Linked DNA regions of Drosophila melanogaster. The protein of the gene in region 3 purifies or fractionates together with the protein of the main gene of each other region. This does not show direct contact. Each region holds a gene or a part of one and is shown on either strand. Other genes may lie near its edges.

Region 1 (6,613 bases), on a different chromosome or scaffold from region 3:
ATCCCTCCTTTCTCCCTGCTTCCAGTACTTGCAGAATTAAAGATTTCAATATCCGCAAGTGAGAAGAACCATCGCTATCTCTCCCTCACTCTCCCGCAAAACGGAAAGCAAAAGTATGCGCCAGTAATATAAACAAATAGAGAGCCTAGAGATCCGGTAGAAGTTGGAGAAGAAACCAGGGGCGGATCTAGTTGTGGTTTGCAAGGAATATTCCCCTAATGTTTTGGTAATTAAACTTAGCTTCTGAAAGTATCTTTTAATTATACTCTCAGTTGTCACCACATTAAAATATTTAAACCTACTGAAAAACTAGCCTCCAGATCCGCCCCTGGAAAATGCAGAGCCAGTGCATCACAATGCAGGGGAAGATGCAAGCCAAAGTGGGAGTGGGAGAGAGTAAAAATAGCGCAGCCGAGTCGCGACGTCGCCATCCCCCCTCTCGTTTGCTCCTGCCACAGAAGCAATTAAGTTGAGTAAGTGGGAGGGCGACCAAAGATGCAGAAGAACTAAAGAAGAGTGAGAGAGAGAGGAAGAGGCCGAAGAACCGCCATCAGAATCAATTATACACACTCTCATTCTTTGTGTTACACACACTCAGTTTGACTTTGACTCCACTTTCGCTCTCTCGCCACCCCCTCTCTAGCACTCTCTTTCTCGCACTCTCTCGTAGAACTTTCACGATCTATTTTTTAGCTTTGCTTATCACATTGGAAATGGACGAAAATTGTTCTAAGAATTTGATAAATTCCCCTCCGGTTTCTCTACAGCTGGGGGAATTACAATAGCACTTATACAGCATGTTGTACGCGCCTGATAAGGCCAATACAAATGCATTTCGCTGCGCGTAGGTGTTTTCGCTGTCTGTGTGCCTGAATTAAAGTTTTCTTTATTATGATGTATGAATATTTTTTGGCCAGACAAAGCGATATTCCAAACAGGAAATGCGAACGAGCGTGTTAAATTGCGTACTCAGTTGTTGTTTGTTGTTACTGCCGGAGCGGCTTCTTTCTTTTACTTGCTTTTTTGTCCATTGTCGGTTTTCAATGGAATGGTTTGTGCAAAAACCCTATACGTAATAGGTGTCCAAACGAATGAGACATAAACAATTGCAGCGCTAGCCAAGTAACGGTGTGTGCTCTCATGTAGGAAAATCCCAAACTTCATTATTACGGAGAGATGTTCATGGAAATGGCAAAGAATTTTTTTAATTCAGGAAATAATAATATTTTTGCTATACCAGAAAACTAAAAAATGTGTCTTTTATAATAACGCATTAAGTTATCATCATCTGGTTTTTTCAAATCATGTTTGAATCATATGAAACGAAGAAAATTAAATATTTGTTGAATAAAACATGAGTTTTAAGTATAACTGTTTGTAGAAGTGAATCATTTTTGGATTAAATCCAACCCCACTGGTCCCAGTCCATTTCTCTGATGGATGACTTTCTAAATCATATTAAGCTGTCTTGGCACCATAACATATTTGCTCTATAGGGCGTTGCAAGCAATTGACCGCGTTAAAGATTCCCTTTCCCAGGTATACAAGAAATAAAATTAATCAGAGACAAAAGCCTCGTGCACTTCGCAACCTTGATCGAATTTAATCTGTTGTTCGAACCGAAGTGAGTTACTGATTAAAAGTCCCAAGATAGGCAACTATCGCTGTTTTGGGTCTAGGTCTTTGACAAAATTTAGACAGCAAAGAGAAACTAACCCATCGGACAATAAACCGACAGCCTCTGTTTCCACATGTGCGATTGCGAAAAGGTTTCCGTTGAAATGGATATCGTTTCGCTTGAATAATGAGCTTGGCCAAATGGGCTACCTGGGACTTACCTGTTTTCGAAGGGGAGTTGCCGGGTCCTAGTCCTGCTTTCGCCATTTCTACGGTTGTACATACTACAAAGACTACGGTCAGCATTCTATTCCAGTTCCAGTTCCGGTTTCGTCCACACAAAACAAATTTACATTGAAAACTCATTATACACACGGGGCAGATCCCGAACCCGAACCCGATTCCGCTTCCGATCACGCGTAGAGCAGCCTGGCCGTCCGGTGATTGCATAGCAACTATACGTTGCGTCGGAGCACCTTCTTGGCCGCCTTGATGTTGGGCACGAGGGCCTTGACCTCGCTGCAGTCGTTGAGGAACGGATGGCTGAGCAACTCGTCGGCGGTGGCCCTTCGGTCCACCTCCACCTGGAGACAGCGATCGAGAAAGTCTTGAAGGTTGGGACTCAGCTTATCCCAGCTCTTGATATCCGGCCGACCGTTGGCGGCGATCAGGTAGAGGGCGCGGAGTGGAGTCTCGTATAGGTAGGGTGGCTGGCCTTCGATCATCTCGATGGCCATGATGCCGATAGACCAGATGTCCACCTTCTTGCCGTACTTCTTGCGCGTGACCACTTCGGGCGCCATCCAGTACGGCGTTCCCACCATTGTCTGGCGCTTCTCATCGCCCTCGATGTTGGCGCAGAACCCAAAGTCCGTCACCTTAACACTGCCATCCATGCCCAGCAGCACGTTGTCTGACTTGATGTCCCGGTGGATAATGCCCTTAGCGTGCAGAAAACTAATAGCGTAGAGTGTCTCGCGGCAGACGCAGGCAATCTGGCGCTCCTTCATCACAGTCTCGGTAACGACGTCAGTCAATGGGCCGCCATCCATGTACTCCATGACTACCCACAGTTGGTCCTCGGGCTCCAGAAGGTAGGCATCCAGAAAGTTTACCAGATTCTTGTGGTTGAAGTCCTTGAGCACTCGGATTTCTGTGAGTATGAGATCCTTCGAGGACTGGTTCTTCATATCGATGGTCTTGACGGCCACCTGCGATTCGTTCTGCAAATCGGCGGCTATGAAAACTATGCCAGAAGCTCCCTTGCCCACCTCCTGGGTGGTCTTGTAGCGTTCCCTTGGGTCATCTGAATTGCAAATTGCCCGCAGCTCAACGTAGATTTCGGCATCGGTTTTCTGGGCCCTCTTCTCCTTGGAGCGGCGCAGTATCGTCTCGTCGGGATTATCATCCGCTCCAGCATCCTGGGCCCCTACGGCTGGCTTGATGATGATTGTGTCTGTGTTGATCTTGTGCTGGTTGTCGGAGTCCTCATCTCGACGTATATCCGAAGTGCGTGAGAACTTCTGTGTGACACGAGGTTTGGGCTTGATTTGCGGTTTGGGCGGTATGGTGTGGGGCGATTTCTTGGGCGGTACTGGTGGAGGCTCTTGCGGTGCGGCCTTCAGCGTTTCGCGGTGCTCCAGATTGGTCTTGAGCTCCTTGAACACCTCCTCTAGGGCGTCCAGCGGCACCGTCGACTGCTGGCTGCTGTCGTTGATGCTGCTGCTGTTACTATTACCTGCCGAGGAGCCACAACCGCTGCTACTTTCCGTCTCCGTGGCCGTCGAACTGCCATCGTCGTCGGACTTTTCGGGATCCTGAGACTTGTGCTTGTTTTTGTAGTTGACATAGTTTTCTATCTCCTTGGACTCCTCGTGGATCACATCTTCGGTGATGAAGGGCTTGAAGACCTCGTTCTCTTTCTTCTTAATCGAATAGTTGTAGTACTTAACGGCATGGTAGGCAGCATCTGGATTCTTGTCCTGCTCATCGCGAGTGATCTGTGAGTTCATTAGGCGCACCCATGGAGCTGGAAGCCCCTCCAGGTCGCCGGTTTCCTGGTTGCGCGAGACATGGAAGTGCCGTTGGAAGTTTGTGGGTGCACCGATCTCTGAGATCGATCCCCCATCTCCGCCCTTCTTCTTGAACCACTTGGTGAAGCTCATTTTCCAGCGGCTTTCTCTCTCTTTATTGTATAAGAGTGTGTGTGGGTGGGGGGGATTTTCTTCAATGCGTTTAGTAACGCTCGACTTGGGAAATTCTAAACGCTCGGCAGATTTGTTGTTGTTTCGCGTTCGGTATTGTTAATGTTACTGTTACTCAAGCCACCACTCTCGCTCTCTTTCTCTCTCTCACTGAACCAGCCGTGAGTCATAAACACATGCACAAGCACGCACACTCGCTCGTTCGGCCTGCGCTTTGTGTATGTGTGCGAGAGCTCTTCTTATCTCTAACTGTAGCTGTAGTTTCTTTCGCTTTACGAAAACGCAGAAGATTTTCACTTTTTATTGGCCCCACTCGCTTTGCTAATTATTAATTTAGCTACCTTAATTTATTCAGCAATCACCAGTTTTCAATTGCTCAACACACAAAGGCGGACGCGGACACGAACACGCACACATCTCGAAGTCGGACACAAAAGGAGTGGCCGTCGCAGTCTTGTTCTTCCAGTGTCTGTTGTTGTTGCTGTTCTTACGCGGGCCGAAAACTGCCTTCCCGTATAGTTTTTTGTTAGCCCTTCCAGGCTTCCATAACTATACGGAAGTATATTGTTGATTTGGGTATATCTAAGCCGCTTTCAGAGCAACACTCCGAAATTAATAACTTCTTTGGTTTTTCCCTTCGCTTTGCTGCAATCGCACTGCTGCACTCGGCCTGCTATTGTTGTCGCACTCGCACCAATTGTGCCGACAAATGCGAATTGTGTACGATGTACACTCTTTATTTTTACTATTAAGCCTAAAGGTTAATTCGCGATTTTAAGCTGCTCTTTGCGTTGCAATTTTATGTTTCTTAGGATGAACCGAAAAACATCCGCGCGTGTGTAATTCTTGAAAATTGCAGACTAAGTGTGACCGCAGCTAAGTTGGGCGAGTATTCCACTGTGTGGCCTTTTATCGAAACATCGACACTTTTATAGGACTATCGATGCTGGTCAAGTGGTTCAGTATTTTTTCCAACAATTTTGAGTCGGAACACTTTAAAAATATTACAAATAATTTTTTATAAAATAATATAAATATTATTCTAAACGGCCATGCTACTGGATAAATGCCTTTTAGTATTGACTAACAAAAGTTTCTTATAATTTTAAGTATTTATAGACCCTCAACTAGTTTTAGTATATATAGGTTTCCAATTCTTCAAAAATCCGAATCCGGTAATTAATAGAACTCAGTTAAATAAAAGAACATTTAAACATCCATCTTACATTCATTTATATTTGGGTATTTTAAACCTCATATCTTGTGATCTTGTGATATCTATATATATATATCTTCTGATCTTCCCATAAGAATCGATTTTTTAAAAAGATAAAAACTACCTTTTTTTATCAAAATGGTTTAACCATTTCTGCATTTCCCCGATGCTCTTGCGGAAGTTCATTGCCATCGTCACCGCTGTAAACAGTAATAAAATCAGAGAATCTGGCAGATAGGCAACAAAAAAACCCAAGCGACAATGGCTAATTACGGGCAACGGAGCAGCTTCTTCAGAAATCGTGTACCCCACTAGATAACGTCCGTGATTGATAAAGCGCCATTGAATATATCGACTTACGGATTCCCAATGCTGGTTAGTTTCCACTCGTTCGCAGCGTCATGCAAAAGTGCCGAGCTCCAATTCCGTTTCTTCTCATAGCTGGGATCCTTGTGATCCTGGAAGCATCCCGCACAGAGGCTGCCGTCCCTCGGCAGCCGGACAGTCGGATTGTGAACGGACGCGAAGCCACCGAAGGCCAGTTTCCATACCAACTCTCGCTGCGCCGCCAAACGGTACACATCTGCGGCGCCTCGATTCTCTCCAGCAACTGGGCCATTACGGCCGCTCATTGCATCGACGGGCATGAGCAGCAGCCGCGGGAATTCACACTCCGCCAGGGCAGCATCATGCGTACCTCGGGCGGCACTGTTCAGCCGGTGAAAGCCATCTACAAGCATCCGGCCTACGATCGGGCGGACATGAACTTCGACGTGGCCCTTCTACGAACAGCGGACGGAGCACTCAGCCTGCCGTTGGGCAAAGTGGCGCCCATTCGATTGCCCACCGTTGGCGAGGCCATCTCGGAAAGCATGCCCGCCGTCGTCTCCGGCTGGGGACACATGAGCACCTCCAATCCCGTCCTGTCGTCGGTACTCAAAAGCACTACGGTACTGACAGTCAACCAAGAGAAGTGCCACAACGATCTACGCCATCACGGAGGCGTCACCGAAGCGTAAGCAGGGGAATCATACTACTTTTTTAAGTTCTGTTTACCCAAGAGACTATTCCCTACATATTATGCCATGTAGATTGAACAAATTAAGAGTTTATCTCTATACACAACTCTGCCTTTCCAAAAATACTTCTAATTCTAGAAGACAGAAGCCCCAAAAAACTCACGAAGTCACTCACTGCTTGAGCACAATTTAAAAATTTTCAAAAGGGAGTTGGTACTTGAGATACATCTCTATTTATTGTTCTCAAGTGTTTATTGGTAAGACAAAGCCAATTAATTCCCAATTTATATTATCTTTCAGAATGTTCTGCGCGGCCGCCAGAAACACAGACGCATGTCAAGGTGAGCCCAGATAATTACAATTACGTTTAATCGACATGTTGATAATGACACCGTGAACCTCATCATTTTTCAGGCGACAGTGGAGGTCCGATCAGCGCACAGGGAACCCTTATCGGAATCGTATCCTGGGGAGTTGGCTGCGCGGATCCGTACTATCCAGGAGTTTACACCCGCCTGGCCCATCCTACTATACGCCGTTGGATACGCCTGCTCACA
Region 2 (4,851 bases), on a different chromosome or scaffold from region 3:
CTTAGCTGGGAATAACACTATTATAATAATAATATTATACTTATATAATTCCTAATAATTTGCTCCAAGCATACATTTTTTTTTTTGTAAAAAGAAAATTAAAATTAATAAAAAGTAAGTAAGTAAGAGCTGCGTATCATTGTGCCGTTTGATATTCCAAATTCCTAATAAATTATTCTCTTATTGAGTTGAAAAATATCCATGTTTGTCATTATATGTGTTGTAAAGATTATAGACAGTTTAAGTGTACACATTAACCTCTTTGGTCAATCTAATCTAACTTTTTGGTAAGAGATGGTTTATCTCTTTAGCATCTCTTATCGCAGCATTTTCTGCGGCAGGTCTGGTTATGTTTCGAGTGTTCACGTCGGCTGTTAACGGATTTTTGATACATTGTTGTTATGTGTAAACAGTTCTATTTATGTACTTGTACATGTTGCACAGCGCAAATATTGTCGATTAACCATGGTTTCCCGTGCTAAGTTTCGATGTGATGCCAACCAAGTATAAACTAAAGATCCTGTGTTATACCAAAACGAATTCGGCGTTGTCAAGATCGATGTTCCCGATTGCTCTTCAGTTCACAAAGAATTTTCACAGTAAATAATGTGATAGCAGCATAAGTTTCATTAACTATCGCTTTGAAATATAGTCGGTTAACCGAAGTACACCCTTGCAAAGTGACTACACAAATGGATTGATGAAGCATTTTTATAGGGGTCAATATCCAATGCTAAGTGTTGAAAAAAATCCACAAATAAAACTTCAATATCTGTAGTGGTTCCCTAATTTAACTTATATATTCGGAGAATAAATGAAATTGTATATACATATGTACGTATGACAGGATCAGAAATCTCTCTGAGAATATATAAAAATCGAATCTTCAATTCAGTCAAAATTTAAAACCCACCGATATAATCTATTTAGTGATACTTATTTAACTAAGTGTTAATAATTTACAGGTCTTAATGACGGTTGGTCTTAATTTACAGTTGTAGAGAAATTCAATAAATTATTAATAAGACAATTGATTAGCAAAATAGCCATTCGTTGGACAAATTTTCCAAAAATTGTTGAATAATAATAATCAAATTTTTTAAATTTATATAATTTTAATAGTAAAAAAGGTACATAAGTAAAATTAGTATAAGTATATACATAAATAGTCCCAAACACTACGTGGCGTTGAAGCCTCCATGCCATGAGAAACCCTTAATGAAATAATTTAACATTAAACATGTTATGATTTTAAAATAATTTTATAAAATTTTAGCCATCGTGCCACATAAATCAATGTTGTTCAAAACTTTGTGTAGAGATAGGTGGGTCTGTAACACTCGAATCAAAAACAATATTAAGATAAAAATAGCGCGCACGGCAAGTGTTGCATGGAAGAAGATGAGATCAATTTAGATTCTTTGGAGATTGCTCTTTTTAACGCGACTACCATTTCATTGATATTATTTTACAAAAATGTTCCTGGAACATTTTAGACTCCATCGGTGGTGTCTTCTTTCTTTTTTCTTTTAACATTAGCCAATTGATTGGATGTGGAATCAGAACTGAAAACATTTAAACGATATCTACATAAATACTTCCGAGGTTTTTAATGGTAAGCTTCCCTTTAATGTGCTCCTTGTGAATACAGCATTACAATGCCCTCTAGCTCGATAGTTCAATTTGTATGCGATAGGCTGATACAGCCGATACTAATAATCTGCTCTAGGACTGATAGTGTACACACAACGTTTGAGCGTTGCCTAAGAAGTTTTTTTTAAATAAATATTTGTTTACATTGACTAATCGATTTTTTGTGTTAAACAACCTTATAAAAAATGCGCTAAACCTAAAATAGCCAAATGGATCATTTTAATTTAAAAATATTTATGCACCTACAGTGAATCAGCGGCATATAAAATTAATTCGCATTAAATTCAATCGATATTAAAAAGTTTATATATTAAGGAGAGAGAATGTAGAGCTAAATAATAATAAAAATGACATATGGGGAATTGATGCCCAAACTCAACTACAAACTGATCATACACAAAACCACAAATAAATATGTTGCGAAAGGAATTGTATTGTGCAAACATTATACATGTTTTACATGTACTGTGTATTATTATCATACTCGGTTCTCAGCATTATTGCGTTAACTGCATTGAAGAACTGCCGGCTCAGGCGTTATCTCCCTTAAATGACATAGTCGCCCAGTTTAACTTGCCATCAATACCAGTTCAATCAACAGCTTCCAGCTATGGCAATCGATCAATTGGAAACAATATAGAAAGTGTTAGAGACTCTCAATCTAAAAATTATTTTACTCACATGAGCTTCGACTTTATGCACAATGTTTTGTTTGCGGGTGCTACAAATAAAATACTTAAACTTAACGAAAACCTTCGAGTGCTGGCCGAGGCTGTTACTGGGCCGTTACATGATTCCCCGCAATGTCACGCTGGAGGCTGTCCGGAAGATATTGAGACATCGCTTGTCAATAACTTCAACAAAATTCTAGTAGTAAGCTACGCTCACGATGGTATTCTCATAGCGTGTGGAAGCATTCGACAAGGTAAAATAGCAAACACATATCAAAATAAAAATAAAATACTTAAGTCGGCGACTTCGTATGGGACCGAAACTCCTGACATATCGTATTGGTTTATAGAAGTTATTGGTCATTTTTTGTAGTCATCGTAGAACAATGTCGCAGTGTTTTTGAGCTCCACATAAAAAAGCGGCGAATATAAGTAATTATTCAAAAGTGCGGAAGGAATATGATGATAAACAAAACAGGATTTTAAAATGTTATAAATTAAAAAATCTATAGTTGAACTCTTGAAACAATTTGGGTAGTATTAACGTTAAAGTATTAAAATAAAACAAGATAATATGCTATAGTCAAGATCTCCGATACTCAGCTAGTGTGAATGCGAACTCGAAATCGAAATTTCATCATTTTTCTGGGATATCGATAGATATTGGGGAATAAAAGAAGAAACAATTTGAAAAATGTTCAATAGTGTGGGCGTGACCGGTTTGGCGGCTTTAGGGAGTTAGAGTAGGCGTGGCAAAAAGTTTAAGCAACTAATAAAATTAAAAAAAATATTCTAAAATGTTTGCAAAAATATGGGCGGGCAGTTTTGGGCATAATATTACTTCAATCATGCGATGCGAATCGTCTTTAAAATACTTTTCAACGAATCAGTTAACAATTTTTACTGTTCCTGAAATCAATTCTGATCGAATAAACGAATTTACATATTTGGTAAGTTTTGGCCAATTTCGTAGCAATATGATGAAATTGCGCTCTTTTTTAGGAATATCAAATTGGAATATAACAAAAAAAAAACTGAAACTAAACAACTGAATCTAATGTGCATTTTAAATAATAAAAATGGATCATTTTATACATCATATTAAAATTAAAAAAATTTCATAAAAATAATACGTAGTAGAAAATAAAAATTTTTAACATAAATAAAAATATGAAAACTGTTTATTGCAAGTCATATGTATCTTGAGGCACGAAGTGCGGACACAAGCACTCAACAATCATTGCCTTATTAATTTTTCACACGTCGAAAGCTGAATACTCTAATGAATATAATAATATTATAAAGTCATTTTTGAAATTTTTTTTTGTGATAATATGTACATAGGTTTGACTCTTTCTAATCTATTTTCAAATAATAATAACGTTAAGGCAATGCAAAACAAGAATTTTTCGCATGGTGCCAATTGATCAAAAATAATATAGATTTAAAGTCTATGAACTTCTAAGGTGAAGGGCATATATTGTCAAATTTACAATGCATGAGCACACGTGTGCACACACACAGATGTCTGGTATCACTGTATGCGTAGAAAAGAGCTGTTCGTTGTAGCGCTCTCCGCTCTCTCGCTCTCGAACAAAAATTCGAGAGAGCCTGGAGCAACCTCTAGAGCCACGGCGAGAAAATCGTGGGCTAAGGACAGGCAGACGGACATGAGTAGATCGACTCGGTTAGTGATCAAGATCAGGATTTTTGATATTTTATAGGCTCGGTGACGTTCCGTTCTACATGTAGTATACATTTTTACTTTACAAGTTACGGGTATATCAAGTCCAATGGATACTATGACTTAGGTGTTATATTTTGTCCTTAAAATAGGTTTTAAAAAATTCCGCGATAGTAATAAAATTATCTTTATTTTCAGGAGCCTGCGAAATTTACAGCCTGCCACGTTTTCCGGCAACGCCCCAGTTTTTTGCAGTTCCATTGGCTGCTAACGATGAAAACGCGTCTACATATGCATTTGTAGGTCCGGCGAGATATGCGTGGAAAGAAGAGGATATTTTATATGTGGGGACAACATTTACGAATGTTGGTGATTATCGTCATGACGTGCCAGCCATTTCGTCCCGCCGACTTGATGATTTAAACTATGCTGAATTTTCAATACAGCAGTCAATTATAAATATCGATGTAAAATATCGGGATCATTTTCTAGTCGATTATATTTACGGCTTTAATTCTTCTGAATATGCGTACTTCATAATTGTTCAAAAAAAATCACATTTAGCTGATGAGGCCGGTTATGTAACACGCTTGGCACGCATTTGCATTACAGATCCTAATTACGACAGCTATACTGAAATAACTGTTCAATGCACTGCAACTGAAAACAATGTTGACTACAATATTGTAAGGGATGCGAAAGTAACTCCAGCCAGCCACAAATTGGCGCAAAAAATGGGCATAAAAAAAGACGATCACGTTTTAGTAACGGTTTTTTCGCCCTCAAGAGAAATAAGTAATCAGCCAGAAAGTAAGTCTGCTATGTGTATATATAGCATTAAAG
Region 3 (4,695 bases):
CCGCGGGCAATCAATCAACAGCTGGCTCATTATGACAATCGAAGTATTCTATAGATATAGATAGAATTGAAAGAAAGCGGAGCATAAAGACATAAATAAATATGATGTAGCCATTATAGTATATAGGCATATGTATGTATGTATGTATGATAGGACTGAAACTGGCAAATTGCTTAGTCAACCGGTCCGGGGATCAGAACTTCCGGCGTGTCCGGCAATCGGAAATAATTATCTAAAATTTGTGACAAATGCGGGTGCAGATAAGATTAAAGTTGCCAGGCGTGTGCAATTTTCCCCACTAGCCGAAAAGTATGCAGCAGTTCAGGGGTCAAGCACCATTGCATTGCCAACTATGAAAACCTTTAAATATACCCACATTACTTCCATAATAGACATAAATCTGAATTGCACTTTGCTCCCAACATAATTCATCCGACTATTTAGTTTTGTACAAACGTTTATTTTGGTTGATTAATATTACACTCTTTATTGATAAATTATGTGTTAATATAAATAAAGTGTTTCCTTTTTTTTTAATTTACCGCTCGCTCTCTTTCGTTAAAACAAATTGGCAAAATGTATGCATTTATTTAACATAAATATCAGTATATAAATTAACATCAAAGTAGAGGCTAATTGTGCATTTAGTATACATTAAATCAAGTCCAGGCAAATGCGTTGAGCGGGAAGACCATTGATCAGACACACACACACACATTCACACGTAACTCTAAATACTATATGTATAAATGAAAGTTCTTTTTTTGTCGGCTTCCCACATTCCCCGATTGTTCAGATATTGGCCATAGGCGGGGCCTTTCCTGGGGTTTTTCTTCCACACCCAGATAACGGCTATCTGGTACTGGTTATAGTGACTGCGTTTGGGGCGCTAAAGGCTATAAATCGTCTAGATTTATTTACAATTAATTTTATTTGATTTGTCATACGTTTCTCAGGCCGAATTTCATTTGCAAAGTTCTAATTTCTGCTGTTTAATATAATGCACTTGCGTTTTAAGGCAATTTATGGATTACTATTTGCGAAAATCAAAATTTCTTTTTTTGCAATTAACATTATATAAAAAATGTTTTTTTAATTAGTCGAAATCATTTTTAAAATGTTAATTCTTGTATGTCATAAGCGCAAAAGTATGAGTTGTACTTAATCTAAATTCTAAAACAAGTTAGTCATTAAAAATACTACGAAACAATAACTCAGAACAGAAAAATTTAAACATGTTATCTAGAGCAATATAGAAATTAATTTGAGCAATATTACATCAAATATCTCAAGTTTTAGAAGTTCTTCCACATTTATTTTACTGTGTACGCACAATATCATACTTATATGCTTATGTGTATATCTTTCTATCCGTGATCTGCCCCCCAGAGACCCCTGGCCCCGCCCCCACCCTGTGTAGCCCCCTTGCTGATAGCTGTGTTGTTGTTTTTGTGGCTGCTGCTCCCCCACATAAAGCTGACAATAAAAACAAAACTACGCTCACTCATTCACACACTCATGCCGTCACACTCGCAACCCAGAGACGCGCTCACACTTGCACTCACATCACACACACACACAATACACACACTCACACACTATCTGCTGTAACTAAAGACCCAACAAAGCGAATATGAATATTTTGCACAGAATTTTGCGCTTTGTTCTCTTCTCTTCTCGTTTTTTTTTTTGTTTTTGTTGAAGTTCTTCGCGTTTTTGTTTTGGGTGGGTTCAAAGTTCTTAGAGCAGGGCGCACTTGTGCCGCTTGGGTCCTCGAACGACAGGACATAGCACGGATCGTATGGCCTCGTCGAAGACCGTCTTCAGACCCTTTTGGGTCAGGGCCGAGCACTCCAGATACTTGACCGCAGCTATTTCCTTGGCCATCGCCAGTCCTTGGGGATAGGTGATCGGTGTTAGCTTCTTGTCCTTCAGCTTCTCGATCGTCTGCTTATCGTCGCGCAGATCCAGTTTGGTGCCGACCAGGATTATCGGCACACTCGGGCAATGATGACGCACCTCGGGAAACCATTTGGCTCGCACATTCTCAAACGATGCCGGATTCACCAGTGAGAAACAGATGAGAAAGACATCCGTTTGCGGATAGGATAGCGGCCTCAGGCGATCGTAGTCCTCCTGTCCAGCCGTATCCCAGAGGCCCAGATTGATGGGCTTGGCATCCACCATCACATTCGCCGAATAGTTGTCGAACACCGTGGGTATGTACTCGCCGGGGAAGGCGTTGGTCGTATAGCTGATCAGCAGACAGGTCTTTCCCACCGCTCCGTCGCCCACAACCACACACTTGATGGCCTGCATGATGAAGGCTACTGTACTGGTGGTACTACTGGGCAATCGATGGGTTCAGCAGCTCGATGGGTTGCTTGTGCGCTGGGGGCAGAGGGTTTTTCAGTGGATCAGCTGGTTTCGTGCTCGATTTCCAGTGGCTCAACTGGTTTTCTTTGTGGCAGCTTAACTTATAATTACTTTGGGGTAATTCATTCAATTCAGTAGGTCAGACAGTTTTTGAATGCTTCGATATTTGTACTTTTGAACTATTTTGTACTTTTCTTTTTTCTGTTCAACAGACAAATTTTAGTCACACAATTTAGTTTTGCCTTGTATCGCAGCTCAGCTAGTTTTTCTAATTGTATAGCTTTTGCTTTTCGCGTTGGCGTTTTGCTTTTATTGTTTTTTTTTTTTGGCGATTATACAATAATTTGCTCACGCACTAATACAAATTCTGCCCACACACACACACACATTCAAGCAATCGCGTACAGAGAGAGATGCGAATTTGAAGTGGAGTTTGATTTATCGCGAAAGTTGTCAAATCAATATTCTTAATTGAAAGCAGAACCGTGACGGCGTTCTTTCTGTTCGGTCGGTATATTATTTATGAATTAATTGGGCCCGCATATGTGGGGATTTGCTGATTTTCTGTGGCAGAAACGGAAAAAACACGCCCAAACGCTGTGAAATCTTCGCGGCGATTGAAGAAAATTTCTGCCTCCGCTGGCAGTTGTTGTACTTGTTTTTTCACTGTAGTTTTCGCTCTTTCAACTGGCTTGTACGGCTGTCTCGCTCGTTCGCGTGCGTTAGTCGCTTAAACGAAGCGCTGCGCGCATACGCTCTCCCACACAAAGAGCGAGCGAGCGAACGTGAGCGAGAGCGGCACTGGCACAGTGCAGTCCCATAAAATTAGTCACAGTGAGTCATTCGCTCGGTGACGTTAGTCGTGGCAATCCACAGAGAGCAGAGCGAGACAGAGATAGTGAGTCTCTTTACTTGACCTTGCTTTGGTCGTTTTTGTAGAGTTTTCTATATTCGTTCGACGGTTTTCCACGAATTTCCCGACCGTTGCTGTTGTTTTGAGCCAATTTCCACGCGACTAGAGGCTATCAGAGATGTGCGGTACCCAACTCAGGTACAAATCGCCCGTAGCTTATCGCGGTACAATTACAGTGCCACACCAAAAACAAGCAAAACGTTGATATCGCGCGATATAAATATTAATTGAACAATATTTTTTTTATTGATGAATCAATTATGTGACCTAAATATGTGTCACAGTCTTTGGATGAATATACTTAAATGGAAGTATTCATATTTTAAAATTGGAAACTCAAATTTAGATTCTGGAATTACTTTTAATTCTCCTTAATTCGGGCCATATTAATTTACGACCGTTACATCCCATCTAATTCTTAAACGAATTATTAAATTTTTCATGACCAGCGATATTTGCTGCCGTTGACTGTTTTAATGGACCACAAAATTGCGTGTGTCGGCAAAAACCAAAGCCCAAGGAATAACAAACAAATAACATTGGCAAACAGTGCAAAATATCGACAGTAAAAACCGAAAAGCAAAAACAGAACCCAAACCGAATCCACCGAATCCGCCGCATCCGCATTCAGCCAAAAGTGATAGCCGAAATATTTCGTGTTTGTGTTTTGGCTTCCGCCCCACCAACCAGAAGCCCAAAACATCCCCCCCCCCCGTCCTCCACATGCCACGCCCATTTTCGCATTGATTTTAAAATGGAAATGTTTAAAGTGCCGTCGGCGAATATTTTCGCATTTAAGTTAATTTCTCGCACTGCTGATGGTGCTGCTGTAATTGGATAATTAAATAGGCGCCACAAAATTTGTTCTCCAGCAATCCGAACAACAAGCACGAATATATGAATTTCAATAATATGCATTTTCAAAAAGTTTTTAATGGAATTTACTGTAAAAAATCCGCAACAATTAAATCGCCAATGAAGTCCGTTCAAGTGGAATAAATGTTTCTGTTTCCGTTTGTGCGTGGATGAATCATTCGATTTCGTATTCGATTTCAAGTGGGCGGGTGGGCGTCGCAAGGTTATCAGCGGGTCAGGGCGTGAAACAAAAACAACACTTTTTCGAATTAATTTTCAAATTACAGCGTAATTTAATAGATTAACCAATCGAAAGCTTTTGGCTAAAACAATGGTGTTAAATTAAGTTGAAAAGCGATAAGCGCAACAAATAATGCAGTTATCAAATTACCTTTCAGCAAAGTTATTTACTTAAACCATAACATTTTGAAACCCAAATGAGCCTTTAAGCTCCCAGAAAAAAAAAACATTTGATTGCAGTGTACCTATATTTTCCATTGCTAGCATATCCGGTGGTCAAAAGGGTTCATCAAGGTTTTTAAAGAGGCGGG

Evidence for each region.
Region 1: the proteins of Rac2 (region 3) and Pak3 purify together in Drosophila melanogaster (affinity purification with western blotting, with the first as the bait; one study listed by BioGRID). This does not show direct contact.
Region 2: the proteins of Rac2 (region 3) and PlexB purify together in Drosophila melanogaster (affinity purification with western blotting, with the first as the bait; one study listed by BioGRID). This does not show direct contact.

What each region holds. Positions count from the first base shown.
Region 1 is NT_033777.3:16,449,129-16,455,741, forward strand, and holds the start of Pak3 (Pak3), read right to left. Parts: upstream 4,694-6,613; 5' UTR 3,783-4,693; coding exon 2,073-3,782; coding exon of another isoform or gene 2,031-2,072; 3' UTR 1,839-2,030; intron 1-1,838. Other genes in the region: CG10405 (uncharacterized protein), read left to right, coding at 5,439-6,052, 6,357-6,397, 6,471-6,613.
Region 2 is NC_004353.4:40,641-45,491, reverse strand, and holds the start of PlexB (plexin B), read left to right. Parts: upstream 1-1,713; 5' UTR 1,714-2,067; coding exon 2,068-2,578; exon of another isoform or gene 2,579-2,718; intron 2,719-4,206; coding exon 4,207-4,851.
Region 3 is NT_037436.4:7,432,192-7,436,886, forward strand, and holds Rac2 (Rac2), read right to left. Parts: upstream 3,000-4,695; 5' UTR 2,320-2,999; coding exon 1,741-2,319; 3' UTR 571-1,740; downstream 1-570. Other genes in the region: CG14835 (uncharacterized protein), read right to left, coding at 4,683-4,695. UniProt on the Drosophila melanogaster protein: Involved in integrin alpha-PS3/beta-nu-mediated phagocytosis of Gram-positive S.aureus by hemocytes.